2 linked regions of the Mus musculus genome follow. The protein of the gene in region 1 purifies or fractionates together with the protein of each later gene. This does not show direct contact. Links are inferred from orthologs where the notes say so. Each region holds a gene or a part of one and is shown on either strand. Other genes may lie near its edges.

Evidence for each region. The genes of interacting proteins can lie anywhere in the genome.
Region 2: the proteins of Pja2 (region 1) and Mob1a purify together in Homo sapiens (affinity purification with western blotting; 3 studies listed by BioGRID). This does not show direct contact. The link is inferred for Mus musculus from reciprocal best matches to the Homo sapiens genes PJA2 and MOB1A.

The regions. Positions count from the first base shown.
Region 1 is NC_000083.6:64,327,298-64,335,874, forward strand, and holds the start of Pja2 (E3 ubiquitin-protein ligase Praja-2), read right to left. Parts: upstream 4,587-8,577; 5' UTR 4,499-4,586; intron 1-4,498.
Region 2 is NC_000072.6:83,333,986-83,341,098, forward strand, and holds the end of Mob1a (MOB kinase activator 1A), read left to right. Parts: intron 1-90; coding exon 91-224; intron 225-4,295; coding exon 4,296-4,459; intron 4,460-6,190; coding exon 6,191-6,268; 3' UTR 6,269-6,964; downstream 6,965-7,113. UniProt on the Homo sapiens protein: Activator of LATS1/2 in the Hippo signaling pathway which plays a pivotal role in organ size control and tumor suppression by restricting proliferation and promoting apoptosis.

The DNA of each region.
Region 1 (8,577 bases):
CCATCTGCCTCTGCTCTAGCTGTTTCTATCCTTCAGTGCAGGAATCACAAGCACATGGCCACATGAGGCTAGTTTTTACGTGGGTGCTAGGGACTGGAGCACAGGCCTCCTGCTTGAGAAACAAGCACTTTTTACTACACTAAGCCATCTTGCCAAGAGCCAAAGTGATGCTTAAAGAGAGCTCAGGAGTTCACGTTCCTGATTTCAAGAATTATTACAAAGTAAATGCCACTATAATCTAGTATTTTCAAAATTTCAGGCATAGAGATCAAGGGGACAGTCCAGAAACACATCACATTTGTGGTCTTAGTATACTAACTTTTAACTGAATAAGAAAAGGAATGTTCTTGACAAATGGAACTAGAACGACATAGCCAATGGATAAGAAAACAAGCCTTAAACCTTTTCTCACATCATAAAACAAAAATATAACTCAGAATATGTAACGCATCGTGATGTAAAAGCCAAAACTATTAAATACATAGCCAAAAACATGAGGAAACTTGTACAGCTTTGCAATTGGTAAAGAATCCTCAGAGCACAGAAGCACAGGAAAAAGAAAAGGGGAAAAAAAAGAAGCTCATTAGCCAAATTAATTCCCATTAAAAGCTCTTTTTAAGGAATTATTTGTGTTGCCACATGAGTGAAGGTACCTGTGGAGCCAGAAGACAACATTAGATTCCATGGAGCTAGAGTTACAGGCATTTGTGAGCAGACCAATGTGGGTGCTGAGAACTGAAACTGGGTCCTCTGGAAGAGCAGCAGGTGCTCTTACCTGCAGAGCCATCTCTTCAGCTCCTCCTCTTGTTTATAGTTTGGAAATAAAGAAAACATAAAAACCTTCATATTGAAATGTGTGTTTCATGTCTGTCAGTGTAGCCATATAAACAACATATTTAAAAAGCTTTAAAATTCATTAGGATAACCTGAGTTTTAAAATGGCTGAAAGATCTGAAGAAAGCATTTACAAATGAAGACACAGACCAGCTTATCAGCATCATGAGTCATCCAGTAAATATAAGTTAAAATTCACTGCGTCCCAGGAATGATCCCAGAAGCCAGAAGCCTGAGGCAGGAGGATTAAGAGTTCAAGGCTAGCTTGAACTACATAGTTTGAGTTCATTACAGCCTCAGCTACAAAACAGATTTCTTTTCGAAAAGACCAAGATAACAAACATGTGAACAAAAAATAAAAGCCAGTGTGATATAGTAAAACTACTATACATATACTAGAAGGGTGTAAGGGTGTGGGTAAGGCAAACTGCTGTGTGTCACTGGCAGACAAGGAACATGAGACAATGATTAAACATTCATTTTCTATATAAGTCAATAAATACTACATCTAGAGATTTTCCAGGTTAAAAAATGTTTCAATTCACATAAGAACTCAGAATAAATGTTCACAGCACCTTTATTAATAACAACCCCAAATCAGCAACAACCCAAATACATTGATTAAATGACTAAAACAGTAGTAAATCAACAACTATCATGAACTACTTCACAAAAAACAGAAGCTAGTTTTACACACACACACACACACACACACACAAATGGTCTTCAAAAGCATGATGCTGGGAAATAGCAGATACAAAAGAAATAATTACATTTATATGAAATAGTAGACCAAGGGAAAACAATGTATACTGTGAGAAAGGTAAGTGGTTTCCCGGGGCTCAGGGTCAAAGTCTGGTTGACCTCAAAGGAATAGAAGTTTTCAGAGAGGTGAAAATATTGTCCTATGTTATATATTATATGTACACACACACACACACACACACAATGTGTGTGCATATATATATATATAGAGAGAGAGAGACATAAAAGTATACTTTTATGAAAACACAATGAGATGTACATCTTAAGTAAGTACATTTCATTAATTCTAATTTACTCTCTAATTTAAAAAAGTTGACTTTTTGAAAAGATAATCTCTTTTAAGGAACTAGTATATAAGAACCACTAGTGACACCCAAATGGAACCATATATATAGTTGAAAAGATGTCAAAAAATAAAAAAAGAAAGAAGGAAAAGAAAAAAAACTTAACCTCCACTACTTTTTTATAAATATTAAGAATGACAGCAAGAGGAGCCAGAGAGGCAGCAGGTAGGTCAGGGTGCTTGCCACAAAGCCTGACACTATGCAATCCTGAAGCCCATGACAGAAGAACCAACTCCCATACGTTGTCCTTTCATCTCCATAAGCATGCTGTAACAACACACATGTGCACACACACGCTCAGTAAATGTTTTTAAAAATAAGAACAAAAACATTATCTGGGCAAGCTAAAAACAGAAGGGCATATTTTAACCTAATATTGACTATTAAAAAGCTTTGTGAAAAATCATATTTAATGCTAACCTCAGAAGCATTTACCTTAAAGAAAAAGTGACATATTTTAACTATTAGCCCTAGTCTTAGTAGCATTAGCCCTACTACTCAACAATATGTAGCACCTAAGGGGCAATGCAATGTCAGAATGTCATAAAAACTGGAAAGGAAACCAAAAAAATACTTTCAGATAATTGTCAAGTAAATACAAATATTAGCTCCATGAAAAACGGGGGGGGGGGGGGGTGGCAAGGATCAAAAGCTTTTTTTTATTGCCAGAGACAGGAAAACAAAGTTACCTTAAAGTTTTCATCTACTACAGCAATACAACTATAAAGGAGCTGGGAATATTGAAAAGGAATGATATATATGAGGGGTAACTAAAGCTTTAATATAAAGCAAGATGTGAATAAAATGGTGAGAACAGTTTGGGGAGGGGCTTAAGACTGTAAAACAGTTCTAAGAATTTATGTGTAATCTTATTCAAAATAGGGTTTTTAAATTTTAACTCACAAGTGGTCTGAAGACCACCTAGAAGAAACACTCAGGAAATAGTAATAATATCTTTAAAAAGAGTAATAATAAGGGTTAGATGGCTGTCAGATTTAAATACTCATACCCTTTACTTCTGCAACTGTACGTCTGGATCTGTGCTCCAGAAATGATCACACAGGTTTTTCCCCCTTATTAAAACAGTGTCTGAGTCTTGGGATAGAGGCAATATACTAGAAGGCAAAGTGGGGGCTGCTCTTTTTACATTACAGTCTTCCACACCGTGAAATGTTCTAAAATAAACGATTCAGAGCTTACAGTTCAGCATCAATCAATCAATACGTGAGTTAGTTACCTTTAGTATAAAGCATAACTTTCAACTGCAAGCACTGAAACGGCTTTCAGTAGGAATACTTAATTAAAGTCCATCAAATTAAAGAAATAGGATGTACCCTTAGATAGAAAAAGTATTAGGGAGGCCTACATAAAACGGGAGTCTATGTCCAAGATATATAATTAGAAGAAGCAAGCTTTACACAAATGTGCTCAGCATAGCCCTCACCCCCATCCCTGAAGGAGACAACTCTGCATGTGTGTGTATCTTTCAAGATGCGTTTGTGAAAGCACTTGGAAAGATGACCACCAAACCGAAATACTGGTGGGGCACTGAAGGATGAAAATAGTCACATATTAGTATTTATTTAATACTTCTCTCTTTATACTGCTGAATTTTACACGGAGGGTGCATGTCTGTAATAGAAGAATAAAATTATTTCATATAAAAAGACATGAAATCCAGAAGACAATCACAAACATGTTACGTTTATTTCTGTTATTTTTTTACGTTCCTGTATACACTCATCAAATGACCTGTTAAGTCTTCAGCAATGACTGCCATCTTAAAAGAAATAATAGCAAATATTTCGTGATAAAAATAGAGTAAGGCCTCTTTAAAAAAAAAAAAAAGAATCGTATACTTGACAGAATGAGGATCGTCAAAGCAGTTGTCTATGTAGACATACAATTTTTTTTTTTGTTTTATTTTATTCAACTTGGTCTGGGCAGCTTTCAACTCACCATTTTTAATGTGCGCAAAAAATGATAAACCTGGAGGCATCTTGGGGTGGGGGTGGAGGTGCGGGTGGGGGCGGGGAGGGGAGCCCTGAAGGTGCCTCTGACAGGCGTGCTGGGGCCTAACGCTGACCAAGAAGACGGTAGGCCACTGGCACTGCCTGACAGGGTGCCTGGGCCTCGGTGACAATCGGGGAGGACGCAAATCCGGGAGGCAGGGATGGAAGGCGTGCCGTGCCGGGCCGGGCAGGGGCCCCGCAGGCCTAGTGCGCCACGGTCCTCCGCGGCGGGCCTGAGGGTGGGCGGCACTGGCGGGCCGCGAGGGGCAAGGCGCCGGGTCCTTGACCAGGGCACCAAGGACAGCAGACAGCCGGCGGGAGCGAGCGGGCGGCGGGCGCGGCGGCTCGGGCTAGAGCGCGGCCCCGGGCGGGATGGCCGGAGGCCTCTCAGTCGCCAACCCCACCCACCATGGCCGGCCACGGCTCGGTCCGTTCCTCGGAGACCCCCGAAGCCGAGGCGCCTGGGCAGCGGCTCCCTCACCCAGATCCGCTCTGACAGAATCAGCCAGAATGGAGAGAGAAAAAAATAAAAATTGCCCTCACCGAGATGTGCAGCGGCTCCAGAGCGAGAACAGCGCTCGATCCTCCACCCGCCACCACCGCCTTCTTCTCCGCCTCCGACTCCTCCCCCGCCGAACGCGCAGCGGCTGCAGCGGCGGCGGCGGCGGCGGCGGCGGAAGCAGAGGTGGTGACGGCGGCGGCGGCGGCGGCGCGTCCCGCCCCTTGCGCTGCGAAGGAGGCGGAGGAAGGGAGCGCTTTAGCCCCGCCCCCTGAGGGCGCAGCCAATAGACTTCACGGCCCTCTGCAGGGGGAAAAGCACGCATCCAATCGCAGTCCTAGAAGTAGGCCTACGTCATGGTTGGACGTGGCAGAAAAAGGGAAAATAACTGGGGCTGTCTCTCTGCCTGGCGCCTGCAAGCTCTCTCCCAGGCCCTTCGCGGATTGGCCGAGGAGAGTGGAGACGCGCTTGGCTCCGCCCCCTCTCTGGCCCTGCGCCCGCCCCTGCAGCACTGCGACGTTTGGGCGGGGGCGGGGCGCCGAGGCCCGATCCACTGTCAGGCCTTTTGTGGTTTGGCTGGGAGAAAAGGGCGGGGTCTCCCGAAGGGAAGGGGGTGTGGAGAGCTGAGCGCAGGACTGGCGCAGTTACACTTCTCCCTCCATTCCCGCATGCCCCCCAGCAAAATGGAGGTGCAGAATTCGGTTCCCAAGGCTGTGAGAAGTTACCCAGTATTTGCAATTTGAAGTACAAGAAAAGAAAATCCGAAACCAGTTGCAATTCTGATAGCAGCGAGGGAAAGAAACGTACGAAGAGCTTGTTTGCTGTGGTTCTCTGTGGTGCGTGGTACCCGCCCACCACTGGTCAGACCCTCGCCCTGCTCTCTGATTCTGTTTGTATAAAGCAGCTATAGGTGAGATGTAGATTTGGCCTGACCAGAGTTTAGCAGCTGACAGCTAAGTTATATCGGGTGTCAGGCTCGGAGTTATCAGCTCTCGTCTCATGCAACCAAAATAAATACAACAGCTGGAGTCCCTGGACACCTTGCTTAATTTAAACCCAGTCACAGTTTAAGTTCGTTATGTCAGTGATGCACATGTCCCCTTTTCTCATCCTGAAGCCTGCCTGCTTCTCTGATTACAGCCTAGCTCTCTTCTCTTAACTCCCCGCCCCCACCCCCAGCTTCATCACCCAGAGCTCAAAAGCCCAGGATATATTTATCACGTGGCCTCCCTACCCACACAGATTAAGAGCCCCACTTCTTGTGATGTCCTTTAGCTGTAAAATCTGCCAGTGAACTGAAACTACTTTTTCTACCATCGATGTAAAGAAATGATTCGACATTTCCCATAAAAACACGAGAAATTGCTAGACATTTTGTGAAACCAAGTTTAATTCCCAGAATACCCCAGTAGCATATATTTTACCCGCCCCCCAAATTACTCTTTTACATGTCTCCAAGTCCTTGCTCTCTTGAAAGAGAATGTATATTTTAACTAATTTTCCTTTAGAGTCTTGAAGATTGGTTCAGTTGAACACACTAACAGGTTGGCAGGTGCAGGACTTCTCAAATCTCAATCATTTCCATACCATGTCTGGGTATACTAGAATGAACTACAATCCAGAAGGGAGGGCGCATCTGTGAGAGGTTTTTCTGGTTAGTATGATGTGGGTGAATCCACTTCTAGTCTGGATCTTTGAGTTGGGAAGACATACTCCTGGTTAGATCTTGAGATGGGAAGACACAGGCTTTTGATCCAGATCTTGAGGTAGATAGAAAGGCATACCTTAAATCCAGATCTTGAAACAGGAAGACACACATACCTTTAATCTTGGCCATACCTTCTACTGGGCGTATATAAGGATGGGGAAGAAGAAAGGTTTTTGCTCTTTGCCTGCTTGCTTTTGCCTTAGTAGCACATCCATTCCTTCACTGGCCTTGGAGCCTTCTTCCTCAGGATTCCAGCATCAACAGAAGACCAGCTCAGACACCCAATCTGTGGGACTGAGCAACTACTAGATTCTTGGACTTTCTGTTCACAGATAGCATAGCTATTGTTAGATTAGTTGGACTGCAGTCTATAAGTCATTTCAATAAATACCCTTTATAGATACATATACATTACACACACACACACACACATATGAAAGAAAGATTCGTTCTATAAGCTCTGTGACTCCAGAGAACCCTAACTGATCAGAACTAAACCCTGAATCATGAACTCCTCCTTAAGAGGGTACAATATCAAACATTATCAAATATTATATGCCTATATAATAAAGACACAGTACTCAAGTGACATTTTGCTGTGATGTCATGAAAGGATAGAAAAATAGACCCAAAATAGCAATCCACTTTCTCACCGTGTGAGTCATTGCCTCTGATCTTGCCATCGTGCCCCAAGTACAGTCATGCAAGGCATCGCAAGTGATTTATGTTGCAGTCTGAGAAGTTCTGGGATGGAGCCTTAGAACATGAACTCTAAGCTCAGATGGAGAGATTCTCACACGAGCTCCTGCATGTATAAATGTTGCAACCCTCTTACCTCTCTGGCCTGGATTTACTATTTTTAATATGTGAAAGTAAGAGTACCTGCTTATACATTGTTGGTACAGATTAAATAACCTACTCCATGAGACACATATCATGCCCAGAATGAAGTACTAAATCCCTATGAGTTTATATACTATATTATTGTATGTACATGAGATAATAGTACATATTAATGTAAATGCACTGTTGAGTGCATTGTTGATTGCGAAGTTGAGAAGCATTCCCTAACACAGGAGGGTTGCAGGAACCACATAGTGTAGTGTGCTCTTTATTTTTTCGTTAATGTTGATTTATTTTATGTATATGAGTACATTGTCCCTGTCTTCATACACACCAGAAGAGGGCATTAGATCCCATTACAGATGGTTGTGAGCTACCATGTGATTGCTGGGAATTGAACTCCAGTTCTCTGGAAGAACAATCAGTGTTCTTAATAGCTGAGCCATCTCTCTAGCTCTGTAGTGTGCTCTTAAAAAATGCTCATCAAAACAACAACATCTGTATTGCCTGATGTGGTGGTTTGAATAAGCTTGGCTCATGGCAAGTGGCACTATTAGGAGGGTGTGTGGCCTTGTTGGAGGAAGTATGTCACTGTGGAGATGAGCTTTGAGGCTTAAACTCCACCCAGTGCAGATGAGACTTCTCCTGTCTGCCTTTGGATCAAGACATTGACTTTGGCTCCTCCGGCACCAAGTCAACCTGTATGATTCCATGCTTCCCACCTTGATGATAATGAACTGAACCTTTAAACCTATAAGCCAGCCCCAATTAAATGTTTGCCTTTATAAGAGCTGCCTTGGTCATGGTGTCTCTTCACAGCAACAAAACCCAAACTAAGACACCTGAGAACAGTTTCAGGCCTGAATCAGAAACCCCTATGATGAGCAGCTGTATTTTAACCAATCTTCCCCGGCGATCTTGATACACATATACTTTAATAACCCTGGGCATAAGCTGAAAGAGGACCTGTGCTCTAATCATAGTCTCAGAGGGAAGCCAGCAAACATGGTGGGAGTGTGTGTAAAAGAAAATGTTCTTTTCTATGTAAGCCAGCATTTCTAAACTGCTGTTATGACCCCGTCAGGGATTGAACCACCCTTTCACAGGAACCCTCTAAGACCATTGGAAAACACACATATTATATTACAATTCATGAAAGTAGCAAAATTGCAGATAAAAAGTAGCAATGAAAATAACTATGGTTGAGGGTCACCACAACATGAGGAACTGTCTTGAAGGGTCACAGTGTTAGGAAGGCTGAGAACAGCTGCCAAAAGTCCTGGGAATCCTAGAAAACAATTTTCCCAGAGTGTTGGAAAGTACAACATCGAAAAGGGTTGTTTAGCAAGCCAATGGCCAGACCTACAGCTCAGCAAAGCTTAGAGACAAACAGACTTGCTCTCTTCCTTGAGCTGTTGTCTTCTGCTTGCTCTTTGTCTGCCTTAACTGACCAGCCAGGCAGTAACTTGAGCAGAGTTTCTACAGGGCTCTTAGGTTCTGTGTTAGTCAGTGTTCTCAAGAGTCACAGAACCTTTTGAGAGTGTTCCTAAACTTTATCTAGCATCCTTCTGT
Region 2 (7,113 bases), on another chromosome or scaffold:
GCCATGGACAGAATGTGAACCTGCTTTGGTTACAGGTTGTCCACGTTAAGGTTTTAACAGCTATCATTAACATTTTGTTGTTCTCGGCAGGTATGAATACCACTGGGCAGATGGCACTAATATTAAAAAGCCAATTAAGTGTTCTGCACCAAAATATATTGACTATTTGATGACTTGGGTTCAGGATCAGCTTGATGACGAAACTCTTTTTCCTTCTAAGATTGGTAAGTTAACCCCGTGGAGCAGACTTTCTTGTGAGTGATGACTGCAATCTTTAAATGCGCTATTACTTTACATCAGCTTAACAGAGAAGGCCGCATCTGCAAAGAACTTGAATCCATGTATCCCCCCAGCTTACCAACTTGTTTTCTTCACACCAGTTAGTACTTACTTTTTAATCTTTTCCAGTTTGAGTACATTGGATCTGTTTTAAAATAAAAAGTATTTTATGTATGTGGTGTGCGTGTGCCACAGCATATGTGTGCAGGTCAGACAACTTCTTAGATTTGATCCTTTTACCTTTACATGGTTTTTTAATCTGTGTTTCAAGACAGGGTCTTACTATGCAGCCTTGGCTTTCCTGGCATTCACTATGAGACCAGGCTGGCCTGGGATTCACAAACATCCCCCTAACCCTGCCTCTGCCTCCCCACTGGTGGGAATAAAGGTGTGTGTCACTGTGTCCAGCCTTTACATGAGTTTTGAAGATCTAATTCGGGTCATTTGGCTTTCATGGAAAGCACCAAACTCACTGAGCCATGCCACTAAACCTGAACTTTTTTTTTTTTCCCCCGAGACAGGGTTTCTCTGTATATAGCCCTGGCTGTCCCGGAACTCACTTTGTAGACCAGGCTGGCCTCGAACTCAGAAATCCGCCTGCCTCTGCCTCCTGAGTGCTGGGATTAAAGGCATGCGCCACCACACCCGGCTCTAAACTTTTGTTTTAATGTCCATCTAAAAATACTGACAAAGGGGCCAGCATGATGGCTCAGTAAGTAGAGGTACTTACTACCAAGCCTGGTGGCCTGAGTTGGATCTCTGAGACCTACATGGTGGATGGAGGTTGTCCTCTGACCTCCACATGTGCCTTACAGCACGTGCATAGATACATGTCTGCTCTTGCACACACACTGATGAGATGAAATACTTTTTGTTTCATCACGTGTTCTGTTCTGTTTATGTCCTTTGTCTGTTATAGGTGTTTGGTCTTTGTCATACAAGCTGTATGTTTTCTTCCCCTGGGGTACCTTGATCTTATTCATGGAGTGTTTTGCAGTATACACTTCTCTTATTTTGCTCAGCTCCTTTAAGATGTGGGTTGTTTCATTGTTGCTTTTTGTGGTGCTAGGGATTGAAGCCTGGCCTCCTGTGTGCTAGGTGTGTGTTCTGCCCTGAGCTCTTTTTGAGCCCCCGATTACATTTTGTCAGTGAGAAAGTTATTACTTCTTTTGTGGTTGGGCTTAGACCCAGGGTCCCTCACATGGTTGAACTTTACCTTCTTCTAAGTTACACCCCAACTTCTCCATTTCTTTTTAAAAATGTTGTGCTAGGAGAACATTTCTGTTTTGCTACTATGTTTGGTTTTGGTATGGTACTGAGAAGTGAAGTCAGCCTGCCTGCAGTTCCTGGGCTCTGCGTGGCTTCTTCCCAGATTCTTCCTGCCCTCCTCGGTGGAGTCTGAGCAGAGGCACTGCTGGGAGAAACACATCAAGTGTTTGTACTTAGGCTGGAGTTGGGGAACATGGTGGAACATACCTGCAATCCCAACACTCCTGAGGCTGAGGCAGGAGGATTGCTGGAAGTTCAAGGCTATTCTGTGTTATAGAGTGAGACCTCATTTCAAAGAAACAAACAAAACAACAAAACAAAAACCCACCAGATTTGACTTAATAACATTTGTCTTAGTTAGGGTTTTACTGCTGTGAACAGATACCATGACCAAGGCAAGTCTTATAAAAAACAACATTTCATTGGGGCTGGCTTACAGGTTCAGAGGTTCAGTCCATTATCATCAAGGTGGGAGCATGGCAGTATCCAGGCAGGCATGGCGCAGGAGGAGCTGAGAGTTCTATCTATGTCTTCATCCAAAGGCTGCTAGTGGAAGACTGACTTCCAGGCAACTAGCGTGAGGATCTTATACCCACACTCACAGTGACACACTCATTCCAACCAGGTCACACATATTCCAACGAGGCCACACCTTCAGATGGTGCCACTCCCTGGTCCAAGGATATGCAAACCATCACAACATTCTTCTATTAAACCTTGTATTTCCTTTCTCACAGACAATTATACGTTCATTCTATTTGAGTATGTTCTATTAAATTCAGTTTAGCAAGTACTTAGATTAAAGTTGTTCACATATTTACCAAGTTATTTTTATGAGGGAAGATCTCATTTAGCTCAGTTTGGCTTTGAATTCCCTGTGTAACTGAGTATGACCAATACCCCATCTTTCCATCTCTAGCTCCCTCTTGCAGAGGTTATAAAATCTCACCACCATGCCCAGCAGAATCCTCCTTTCTCCTCATCCTCTCATACTACTGTAATGGTTCTGGGTTCCTTTACTTTCCTCCTCATTAGGCTGTCATCAGTGTTGTAATGTTTGCTTTTTTTTTGAGACAGGGTTTCTCTGTATAGCCCTGGCTGTCCCGGAACTCACTCTGTAGACCAGGCTGGCCTCTGTATAGCTCTGGCTATCCTGGAACTCACTTTGTAGACCAGGCTGGCCTCGAACTCAGAAATCCGCCTGCCTCTGCCTTCCGAGTGCTGGGATTAAAGGCGTGCGCCACCACGCCTGGCCTTTAACATATCTTTTTAAAAAAGATTTATTCATTCATTTATATATTTATTTAGTTATTTATTTGAGACACACCAGAAGAGTGCATAGGATCCCATTACAGATGGTTGTGAGCCACCATGTGATTGCTGGGAATTAAACTCATGACCTCTGGAAGAGCAGTCAGTGCTCTTAACCACTAATCCATCTCTCCAGCCCCCTTAGCATATCTTAAGTCATTAGCAAGATGGGAATTTTAAAAGAAAAGATGTTAAACCTGTATTTTTGCTATTTCATATTAAAATTCTGCTCTGAGAAACCAGTCATAAACTTCAGTGTAATGTTTGAAAAGTAATTTTAACCAAGACTAGGAAGAGTTGGGAATACCATAAAAATATATAAGATGAGCCGGGCGTGGTGGCGCATGCCTTTAATCCCAGCATTTGGGAGGCAGAGGCAGGTGGATTTCTGAGTTTACAGAATTTCTGAGGGCCAGCCTGGTCTACAAAGTGAGTTCCAGGACAGTCAGGGCTATACAGAGAAACCCTGTCTCAACCAAAAAGAAATATATATATAGATACAAGATGTATTATATCAAGCTTCTAAGGGCTGACTGAAGAAAAAAGTAAGATGCAAGGTAGGAATGCTGTTAAAAGCCTCCATTTTCCAAGAGGTTCGAGGGTGTTTAATTTAAAGTATGAGGAACTGGTTTTTGAAGCTGACTTTTTGTTCAGCCTGGGACTCACTGTGGAGTTCATGGACTCTCAGAGATCCACCTGTCTCTGCCTTAAATTAAAGACAAGCACCACTTGCTTGCCAGGCATGTGCCTTCTTAGTTTTTCTTAATGTTGGTTTATGTAGCTAGTACTGGCTCGCTGGCATTCTCCTGTCTATAAAGGAGTTGGTTCTGTTAGCCAAACTTGTACAGAGTGTAGCCACTCGCCCCATGGCTACTGCTTGGAGAGTTTTCTACTCCTCCCAGTTTTTCTCAAGAGGTATTTCTTTTTTTCTGAGAAGGAAAGAGGCCCCTTTCTTCTGTTTCAGGAAGGATCACTCCCTTTTTAGGATACAGGAAAATGAAGACTTACTTTCCAGAGTAATGTAAAAGATGAGATATTCTCTACCTACATAGATGATGGTAAAGACTTGATACCACTTAAATGTGGTATCTGTTTAGGATACACATTTGTTTAGGAAGTTCTCCATTCCTAAATTTTTTTTCCTATTACAGATGACAAAAGTGATAATTTATAATCAAAGTGTGTATTCTTGTTGCATTTGATCTTAGAGAGACACTCTGATATTAAACAACCAACATGTTCATTTGAACTGTGATCCAGCAGCCTCTATCCCTATACTACTGTTGTAGACAGTGTGGTGTGTGAAGAATACTTAGTTTGGGATTTCCCTTGCTTTGTGAGTGTGTAAGCTTGTGTGCTACAGTTGCTTTGGGTAGCATCAGGACTTGCTGCATTCTGATTTGATAAAAGACTTATAGGCGTGTATTCGATTACAGGTGTCCCTTTTCCCAAAAACTTTATGTCTGTGGCAAAGACTATTCTGAAGCGTCTCTTCAGGGTTTATGCCCATATCTACCACCAGCACTTTGACTCCGTGATGCAGCTGCAGGAGGAGGCTCACCTCAACACCTCCTTTAAGCACTTTATTTTCTTTGTTCAGGTAGGTGAGTCATTGATCTCTGGGCCTTGGACTTAGACCTTGATAACTTAGTAAAAATTATCTTATTTATCGATGTAGAAAGTGTAACTTTAAGCTTTGTTCTGTCCCCGTTTTGTCCTCTTCACCACACTGTTTCATTGATTCATGAAGCAGTATAGAAGGGCAGTGTCTCTGGGATGCAGAGGTGGCTCAGCAGTTAATAACACATACAGTTACTGCTGAGGACCTAGGTTCAGTTCCCAGAACCCACATCAGGAGGCTCACAGTAGGCCGTAGGGATCCAGCATCCTCGTCTAGTTTCTGCAGACACATGTACGCATGTGGTTCACATAAACTCATGAAAGCTCATGTATACAACTAAAATAGATAACTGAATCTTAAAAAAAAAAGTGGGGGTGGGGGAGGCAGCATCCCACTGGGGCCTGGCTGCCTAGGGCTTTCCTTGGCCATCGTTGGCCTGTGAGCACTAACAAAATTAGAACTTTAAAATATCAAATAAAGGTATTTGGAAAAGAGACAAAGAATTAACAGACCATGATGCCACATCTCTCTTATCCTAGCCAGACCTTGTTTCAAAAAACCAGAAAAGAAAGCTGGAGAGACAAATGGCTCAGCAGTAAAGAGCACTTTCTGCTCTTGCAGAGGACTTGAGTTCATTTTCTAGCACCTGCATTGGGGAGCTCACAATTACCTTAGCTCAAGAAATCCTGATACCTACTTCTGTTCTCTTCAGATACCCGAATACGTATGGCAAATACATGCGCCTGCAAACACACACACACACACACACAGATTAAACTATTTTAAAAAGCAGGGAAAAAAGGACTCCTCTTTAGAGCTAGGCAATTCTGATGTAAATTATCATTTTATAGTAGAGAACACTGGTAGCTTTTTAGTGATTATTGTGTATTGTGGCTTTGTGTACAGTGTAAAGGCTATACCAACTTAATGTTTTTCTTTTTCCTTTTGAGACTGTATTCCTTTTATGTGCACAGTTATGTATGTTCATGTGTATGTATAAAAGTAAAAGCTGACTTCTCATGAGGTAGCTGTTATCAAAGGCTTAGTGTGTCATTTTCAGGTCATTTCTGTATAAACTCATATATTTTATTTTGGTGTTTAGCACAATGATGAGCTACAGTGCCTCTCATCCCCCACAGTTGGTTAAGAAGGGAGCCTGATGTCCCAGTATTGTAAAAGTCACGAGTCATGTGTTGGTCTTTCTGGGGCCCAGACACACCTGGTGATCTTACGGGTCACCAGATACTGTTGATACTATAGAGATTCCAGGATTTTAGGAGCTGTGTGTCAGGAAATGGGGAGGAAGACCAGCATATGTCATAACATATATGTATGTAGGTATGTGTCTGTGCATGTGGCTACACATATAGATGGAAGCCAGAAGTCAGCACTGAGCATCTCCCAACACTGGGCATTACTGGTTCAGCTAGACTAATGGCCAGCAAGCTCTAGGGATCCTCCTGTGTCTACCTCCCCAGCACCATGGTCACAGTACTGTGTCTGGCTTTCTTGTGTGACAAGCATTTTCCTTACTAAGGAGCCTTCTCCTTAGCCTGCACTTGTTTTAAAAATGACTAAAAACAGTTATTTTATATATCATAAAGGTCATTTCTTTCAGATTTCAGAAAGCTAGGTTTAGGAAGCTCATTTCTGAAAAGTATGTAAGAGTTTCAATTTTGGTTCATTATTACATTTTTCTTTTCTTTTTAGGAGTTTAATCTGATTGATAGGCGTGAGTTGGCACCACTTCAGGAATTAATTGAGAAGCTTGGATCTAAAGACAGATAAATGTTTCTTCTAGAACACAGTTATGCTCTCCTTCTATCTACTGCTAGCACTCTCTCATTGCTGTCTGGTATGGACTAAATGATACTGACTACAAGAAACCAGGATCAAAAGATCCATTGTGTTTGCAGAGAAAATTGTCCCAAAGGTAGGTTGGCCAGATAGCTTCAGAACAATCCAACGACAACAGCTAAATCCGAGGTGCTGTGTGGCCACCCTGTTACTGCTAGTGTCCTTCTTTGTCTTAGCCCATGACTAACCTGTAGTTTGTTGCTGAGCTTTGTTTAAGAAAATGATTTTTCCCATGTGACAGCATAATGGACATTAAGAATTTTCAGCAGCAACTTACTAGTAAGTTTCTAGAACAAATGTCTTAACACAGATCAGTTTGCTTTGTTTTACAAATCAGTGGTGTTCTGTTTCTAAATCCCATCGTTTAGAGCTTCTGTTTTACTTTGGTTCACATTTGTATACTGATGTTTTATACGCAAGAGTGTATGTTTTTAGCTAGGCATGATGGTCCATGCCTGTTACCTGACAACTGTGGAGGCAGAGGAGAGGGTCTCACATTTGAAGCTGGTTTGAGCTACATTGTGAAACTGTTGCTAAAAAAAGTTTGTTTTACAAAATCCACAAGGCATAAATCACAGGCATATGTGGACTGAGATAACCAAAGTTATTTTAAATGACTTTATTTTCTAAACTTGTTTGGGATTGTCTTCATGTCTAGATGAGGAGAGTGCATGGCTTCTGACGGTGCCTTGCAGGTTCTCATTTGAGACTCCTCACTCAGATTAATTTCATATGTAGCTTGGGGCAGAGATCAAAACAACTTTCAAAGCTCTGAG